2 linked regions of the Saccharomyces cerevisiae S288C genome follow. The protein of the gene in region 1 interacts with the protein of each later gene in a biochemical or structural test. Each region holds a gene or a part of one and is shown on either strand. Other genes may lie near its edges.

Evidence for each region. Proteins that work in one complex are often made in the same cells at the same time.
Region 2: the proteins of CBF5 (region 1) and NAF1 form a complex in vitro, tested with the Saccharomyces cerevisiae proteins (2 studies listed by BioGRID).

Annotation. Positions count from the first base shown.
Region 1 is NC_001144.5:504,279-508,124, reverse strand, and holds CBF5 (pseudouridine synthase CBF5), read right to left. Parts: upstream 1,992-3,846; coding exon 540-1,991; downstream 1-539. Other genes in the region: RFX1 (Rfx1p), read left to right, coding at 1-328; isocitrate dehydrogenase (NADP(+)) IDP2, read right to left, coding at 2,296-3,534. UniProt on the Saccharomyces cerevisiae protein: Catalytic subunit of H/ACA small nucleolar ribonucleoprotein (H/ACA snoRNP) complex, which catalyzes pseudouridylation of rRNA. This involves the isomerization of uridine such that the ribose is subsequently attached to C5, instead of the normal N1.
Region 2 is NC_001146.8:390,889-394,870, reverse strand, and holds NAF1 (RNA-binding snoRNP assembly protein), read right to left. Parts: upstream 1,980-3,982; coding exon 501-1,979; downstream 1-500. Other genes in the region: NMA111 (Nma111p), read right to left, coding at 1-186; ESBP6 (Esbp6p), read left to right, coding at 2,704-3,982. UniProt on the Saccharomyces cerevisiae protein: RNA-binding protein required for the maturation of box H/ACA snoRNPs complex and ribosome biogenesis.

The DNA of each region.
Region 1 (3,846 bases):
GCAACATTTACAAGGGTTCTGTCAAGTTTTCGTAACAAAGTTCTTAAATTCCTCTATGAGCGTTAGCAATGATCCCTCTGTGTCTATCGAATGCAAGTCCTTAAATGAAATGATTAAAGATTTTTGTTCCTTTATTTCCCTACAAAGCAAATTTTCGTGCTTGAAATTAATTGATTGCAGCACAAGATTCAGGAATGCAATAATCGGCGATATTAGCTTAAAATCAAATGAGAATTTGCTATCATGGTTGTTTCTAAATAATGTCATGGGCCAATTGCTGAACTACTGTTTTGAAGTCATGAAATTCGTCAATGGCCTAAAAGTTTAAAAGTTCTATCATTAGTATATGGGGATATTTAAAAAAGAATATAACGTTGCATATGTAAAAAAAATAAAAGTAAAAGAATACTACAAGTCGTTGATAAAGAAATTTTACGTTATTAATATACACACTAAAAAAAATCTAATCTAATAATAGAAAAAGTTTTTTGAAAAAAAGAAAGCTGTTAAATATATAGGATGAGATGGAGTGATGAGAATCATTTCTTAGATTTCTTAGATTTCTTTTCCTCAGAATCACCGTCTTCAGACTTTCTTTTCTTCTCCTTTTTCTCTTTCTTTTCCTTCTTGTCCTTCTTTTCTTTCTTTTCCTTCTTTTCCTTCTTGTCCTTCTTCTCTTTCTTTTCCTTTTTGCTGTCATCCTCTTTCACTTCTTCCTTCTCAGTTTCGACTTCTTTGATTAAAGAATCTTCTTTAGCTTTCTTAGGCTCTTCTTCAGTTTCCTTAGTTTCCTGAGAGCTAGAAGTTGACTGTTCAGCATTGTCTAATGGAACATATTCTTTTTTCCATTGTTCTGGGGTGTTTTCGTTAACACGGCCGTATTTATCCAATTTGCCGTCTGCCTTCATTTGCTTCTTCTTTTGTGCGACTGGACCCAAACCCCATCTTCTTGGGTATAAATCTCTTTCCATGATACATCTCTTCACACTAGCAACAACACCATGATCACAGGAAGCTAAGTCAACGGTTGACATTTGTGCGATGGCAACGGCAATGGCTTCACCCTTGGTAGTTATCAAGACAATTTCGTCATATAACTCAATACCTTCTTCGTAACGCAATAAACCAGGGATCATCAACTTTGCACCATAACATACTGCATTGACAGCAGAATCCTTCACTACAATTCTCTTGTAACCAACCAATAGAGTTTCTAAAGGTTGAATAATGGATCTCAAGTAAGATTCATCTCTTGTATTGTCGTAAACCCATTGGGCATCCATAACATCATGTAAAGTGACCATGTTGTCATTTTCAGACAGAGCACCGGATCTAACACGACGCAATTCTTGCATGTGACCACCAACACCTAATAGCATACCTAAATGAACACACAAAGTACGCATATAAGTACCAGCTTCACAGGAAGCCCAGAAAACACCTAAGTTTCTCTTGTTATCGAACTCAATCAAGTTTGACTCATAGATAGTACGAACACGTAATTGTCTCTTAACAGCAGAGATTAAAGGAGGTCTTTGGAAAAGCGCACCGGTCAAGTTTTCTAGTGAGCGGCCCAAATCCTTTTCATCCTTCAAAGCATCATGCAATCTGACAATACACACATACTCCTTACCAGCACCTTGTTGAGACTTAACCAACCTGGTAGCTCTGTCAATACAAACAATCAAACAACCTGTAACTTTTGGATCCAATGTACCAGAGTGACCAGTCTTCTCACAACGTAAGATTCTTTTGATCCAAGCTACAACTTCGTGCGATGATGGGTTGGAAGGTTTATCTAGATTAATGACACCAGAGCTGATATATGATTTCAGGTCTCTCTTTAGTGGTGAACTACCAGCTGGGATAGGGGTATAATGACCACTTCTGACTAATAACTTATCAAAATTCTTCAAAAGTAATGGCCATTCACTAGTGTCAGTGGAAGCACCTGCAGCTTCAGGCTTAATAACGAAATCCTCCTTTGACATTGTGTATATCGGTCCTCTGTGTAGGTTGTAACGAACTCCAGATGATAATGAATCTTTAAAAAAAAAAACCAATAAAAAATGTTCTGAAAACTATCTTTACATTATATTTTTCCTAAGCTAAACATCTCATCATTTGAAAATTTTTCAAATTTTTTCAGCATTTTCTTTTTGCGAAGAGGGAAAAGAAGAAAGAAAAATTTTCAGTGAGAACAGAAGATCATATGTTACGAGTAGAAAATACTAAAAGTTTTTCGATAAAAAGGGAATATATAATATAAATAAATCAATCTGTCATTGAGTAAGTTTACAATGCAGCTGCCTCGAACTCTTTTTTCAATCTAGATTCCACCGCGTCAATGAACTCCTCGGTAGTGACATAAGCGGATCTTTCAGACTTACCGAGAATGAGCGCCAAATCTTTAGTCATGATTCCATCTTCTTGCACTGTATTTACCGTAGCGCTTTCCAATATTTGGCCGAACTTAACTACATCTGGAGTATTATCAAGTTTACCCCTTTGAATAATACCTCTAGTCCACGCGAAAATTGATGCAATGGAATTTGTTGACGTCTCCTTTCCTTGCTGATGCTGTCTAAAATGTCTTGTTACTGTACCGTGGGCGGCTTCGCTTTCAAAGGTTTTACCGTCCGGGGTAATCAACACAGATGTCATTAACCCCAAGGAGCCAAATCCTTGTGCAACAATATCTGATTCTACGTCACCGTCGTAATTTTTCATGGCAATTATGTATCCACCTTTAGATTTCAACATTTGGGCCACCATATCATCAATTAAACGGTGCTCGTACCAGATGCCAAGGGATTCAAACTTCTCTTTATAACTTCTAGCATACATGGCTTCGAAAACATCTTTGAATTTACCATCATACTTCTTCAAAATAGTATTCTTAGTAGTGGAATATAATGGTAACTTCCTTTCAATGGCCAATTCAAAGGAGGCCTTCGCAAACCCTTCGATCGAATCTGTAGTGTTGTACATCATCATGGCAACCCCACCATGTTCTGGGTAGTCAAATACCTTCAGATCTACATCATGAGTTCCGCTCTTGGATTTATAAACAAGCCTCAACTCGCCTTCTTCAGGGACTATTACATCGGTAGCTTTGTACTGATCGCCGAATGCGTGTCTCCCAATGATGATGGGCTTCTCCCATTGAGGAACTAGCCTTGGAATTCTAGGGATAATAATAGGTTCTCTGAACACTGTACCACCCAAAATGTTTCTAATAGTACCATTTGGAGATTTCCACATCTTTTTCAAATGAAATTCCTCGACCCTTGCCTCATCGGGTGTAATAGTCGCGCATTTGACAGCTACTCCATACTTTAAAGTCGCGGTGGCAGAATCCACAGTTACTTGATCATTAGTCTGGTCACGATACTCCACGGAAAGATCGTAGTACTTCAAATCAACGTCAAGATAGGGCAAGACTAACTTGTCCCTGATTAAATGCCAGATTATTCTTGTTTGCTCATCGCCGTCCATTTCCACAATGGGGTTAGCTACCTTAATCTTTGTCATTACGATTTTATATATATACGTACGTTACCTTCTTACCTCCTATTCTCGTGCCTGAGCAGCGACTGTAGTCGACAAGTCAAGAGTGTAGTAACATACAATTGCAGGCTGTCATTTATATATCATGCCGGAGACTAGTTTGCCTATAGCCAATTCCAACCGAACCAATAATGTTAAGTCCGGTTTTTGATATTATACTCCACCCCCACTATTCCTAGCCCTGAAAGGTATCAAAGAGAACACTGATGATTTGACTACTGCATATTCTTCCCTTATTTCCTTATTTGCCGATTTTCGGACCACCGGCAATGACAT
Region 2 (3,982 bases), on another chromosome or scaffold:
TACAGTGTTATTATTATTAGCAAAGTGCAACGGCTCTATAATGATTTCATGGTCTGTATATTCTTCCTCTTGATCTCCGGTGGCGCTTTCCAACTGTTTCCTTTTTACAAGCGATGATTCACCAGAAGTTCCATCGGAAATTTTAGAATGGTCTCTTTTCTTTATATTGCTCAACGATATGGTCATTAGTAGATCTAAAAAACCTTTACTGTACTCTACGTGTGTATTCAGAGTATAAATATCTTCTAAATAAACTTCCGTATTTAAACCCTCGTAGAACTTTTTTATTTACATATAAATTTTTTGAAAGTTTCATATCATCGCCTTGAGGAAAAAAAAAGAAAAAAAGAAAAATTATCATGTCACACGCTGAGATGGCGTCTAATAATGGTAGTGACAGTAAAATAATATTCAATTAAGAAACTTGTTAAATTTTTCTTGCCTCTTTCTAGTTTATCTATGATACATAGCATTTATTATTAAATATTTCAATCGTGACTCTAGGTTCTTGGATCTTGCTGATGCTGATGCTGATACTGGTGTTGCTGTTGCTGTTGCTGCAAAAGTATTTGATGTAATTCCATTACTTGTTGGAAATTACCATTTCCCTGAGGAGGTGCTTGAGGTGGCGGTTGGATGTACATTGGGTTTTGCATTTGATTCATGGGAGGTACGCCATATGGAAGTGGCGGTTGACTTTGGGTCATTGGCATGAACGACTGCTGTGTTGGCGGCGACATATTGTTGTATGCGGGAGGTAAGCTACCATATGGAACAGTGTTGGAGAATTGGGCCGGTGTCGCCTGCCCAAATGGTGGAGGTGGATACTGGAAGTTAGTCGGCTGAGGGAAAGGTGAGTATGGTGGATAAGGCATACCGTTTGGTTGTTGAGGGAAGGGATAATTATTTGCAGAAAACTGTTGTTGGTGGTGCTGTGTGATTGGCACTGGGGAGGAGCCATTCCGATTAGAGGTAGCACTGGATTCACGCTTGATATTTTCACGTGCGTTTCTTGATTTGTACCCATGTTGCATCGGAGCATTACTGCTCATGCCCAACGGCGGTACCAGTTTAGGTAAACTGTTGGCCTTGGGCTGCCGAGCTCTCTTTACCTTGACATTGTCACTATCGTTGGCTAGTTTGCGGTTGTCCCTTTTCTTTCGTTGCCGTTGCTGTTTCTTCATTTTCTTGAAAAGGGCCTCTTTTTCGTCGTCGGAAAATTCTTGTTCCTCTTCAGGTAATTCTTCATCGTACCCATTAGACGCATCAGTACCTTTGTTGCGCTTTAACTCGAAAGTATCTATCCAGTGGGCATCAGGGGTGACTATAAAGGCTTTCTCACCCAAACGCACTTTTAATTCATCGAATAAGTTTTTTTTTGAATCGGGCAACTTAATTCTATAAAATGGGTTTTGCAAGGGTCCAAACACCTCCGTCAACATCCCGATCAAAGTTCTATCCTCGAGACAGAAAATGGAACCCTCTTTTAAAACACGCTTTTCGCCCGACATCGTGGCGTGAATGATTATATTATTTTCAAATGCAGACTTCAAAACACCAATAGGAGTGATGATCGTTTTTTCTGAAATTTCATAATCTTCCGGTAGTTCAGGAACAGTTTCCTCTAGTATTTCGTTCTTCGATAGTATAGGACCGGAAGGTGAAGGGTCTTCGTCTTCGTCTTCATTTTCAATCGCGTCACCACCTTCGTCCTCTCCTTCAACGTCCTGATCTGCAGAATCATCCTCACTACCTGAAGAGCCAGAATCAGAATCAGAATCAGAACCGGAATCTGATTCGGATTCAGAAGAGCCGGATCCTAGGCCTGTTGATCTTTCTGCGTCTGCTACCGGTTCATCGGTCTTCCTCTCGTTCCCACCATCACCTAAAAGACCTAAATCAACATCATCCTTGGGCAATTCCACGTTCAAGTCCTGGTCGGGATTCTCCAAAGCCTTAGAAAACAAGTCATCGCTCATGATTAGCACTGTTTCGACGTGCTATATTGTGCTTCTTCCACTTTCATACCGCTTCATCCTACCTATCATCCTACCATCTTTTTCCTTTACCTTTAAGCTCATCGCCTGAAAAATTTCATGGCCGCAAAAAGAAACGCGCAGACCGTTACCCGAGTGGTAGTGCCTGACTCATTTATGTGCCAACTAAGCATTGCTCGAGAACAAACTAGTGAAAATGTAAACCAGGGAATTTATCATTTGGTCAAAGACCCTGACGAACTAAAACTGTCAAAGGCTGATAACGCAGTAAGAACAGACGGAGGCCTTATACCGCATCTTTGCAGACCACAGTTTCCTATATCTAGTTACAATAGCGCTTGCCGACGATAACCGAGATAACGTATCTTTGCCGCGGGCTATCTCGGCAATCTGCAAAAAAAAAAAACCCCCGCCGCTATTGAAGAAAAGTCTTCGGGAGAACCTGGATAAATACTTGGCATTCCTTAGATCTTGATGCTTTGTCCACTCATATCGGAGCCAAAACTAGACTGTTTCTTCTATATTCTACCAAAGCTGCTAGACTTAGACAAATTTTCTTTTGTTAGTTAAATGTGCGAGTCAGAATAGTATTTTGCATTTGTCACACCACATATTTAAAAGTTTTATCTTTTTCTTTTGTTTTCTCCACTTTTCTTTACTTTTTCTTTAGGTATAATTACGGGGCTTCTGAAAATAAATCTGAAAAATGTCAACGCACTCAAACGACTACTTTTCTGCTTCTTCCGGAATGGTCTCTGAGACATCGTCCGAGGTTTCTTCGATAAACTCTTCACAGCCTGTATCATTCTCTAAGGCTTCTATTGCTGCTCCGGTTCCATGCTCTGATCTACACAGCACCAAGTCGAACGATGCATCGAGAAAATTGTCTATTAGTAGGACGTTAACTAATCGGCTCAACGACATTAAAAAGGCTGTCGATGACGACAACTTGCAGACGGAAGAAAATTCCGCAGACGTTAATAAAATATTAGAATCTAGATTTGACGTGGCCGATGCCATTAGGCTACAGCACAATGAGTCAGTCCAGTCAAAGTTAAACATCCCAGTCACACACACCACGACTGCAGGCGCCTCGTTGTCGGCACCATCTTCCTCTGCTTTCTCTGCTTCTTCTATTCAAAATGATACTACAGAACATAAAGCTTCCATGGACTCCAAACTCATGAGGAATAGACTATATCCGGCTTCCACGAAACACTCCGGTAAGGATCTTGAGGCCCAAGGAATAACCGAATTCGAGCCTGATGAACCGACTGTAAAAAAAGTATTCACCAACAAGTCTACCGGGCAGCTGGAACTGCCCCCCGACGGTGGTTATGGCTGGGTCGTGACATTCTGTGTGTTCTTGACCATGTTTTCCACGTGGGGCTGCAACGCATCCTTCGGTGTCGACCTTGCCTACTACTTAAACCATGATACTTACCCTGGTGCTTCGAAGTACGATTATGCCTTAATTGCTGGCCTAACTGTCTTTCTCGGTCAACTCTTATCCCCCCTTGTGATGGCACTGATGAGAATAATTGGTCTGCGGACCACCATGCTTTTTGGTGATGCTGTAATGCTTGCCGCATATCTCTTGGCCTCCTTTACTACCAAGTTATGGCAATTGTATGTCACCCAAGGTTTTATGGTCGGTTGTTCAATATCACTGATTTTCGTTCCAGCAACAACCGTCTTACCAGGATGGTTCTTGAAAAAAAGAGCTGTCGCAATGGGTGTCTCATTATTGGGTACCGGTGCTGGTGGTGTCGTTTACGGTTTGGCTACAAACAAAATGCTTTCTGACTTTGGAAATACCCGGTGGTGCCTTCGTATCATAGGCATATCGTGTAGCATAAGTGTTCTAGTTGCTATTGCGCTCTTAAAAGAAAGAAACCCTACACCTGCCATAGGATTGAAATCGCCTCGGGCCATGTTTGAACAGCTCAAAGCAATGTTTTCATTAAAGGTTATAACTAAGCCAT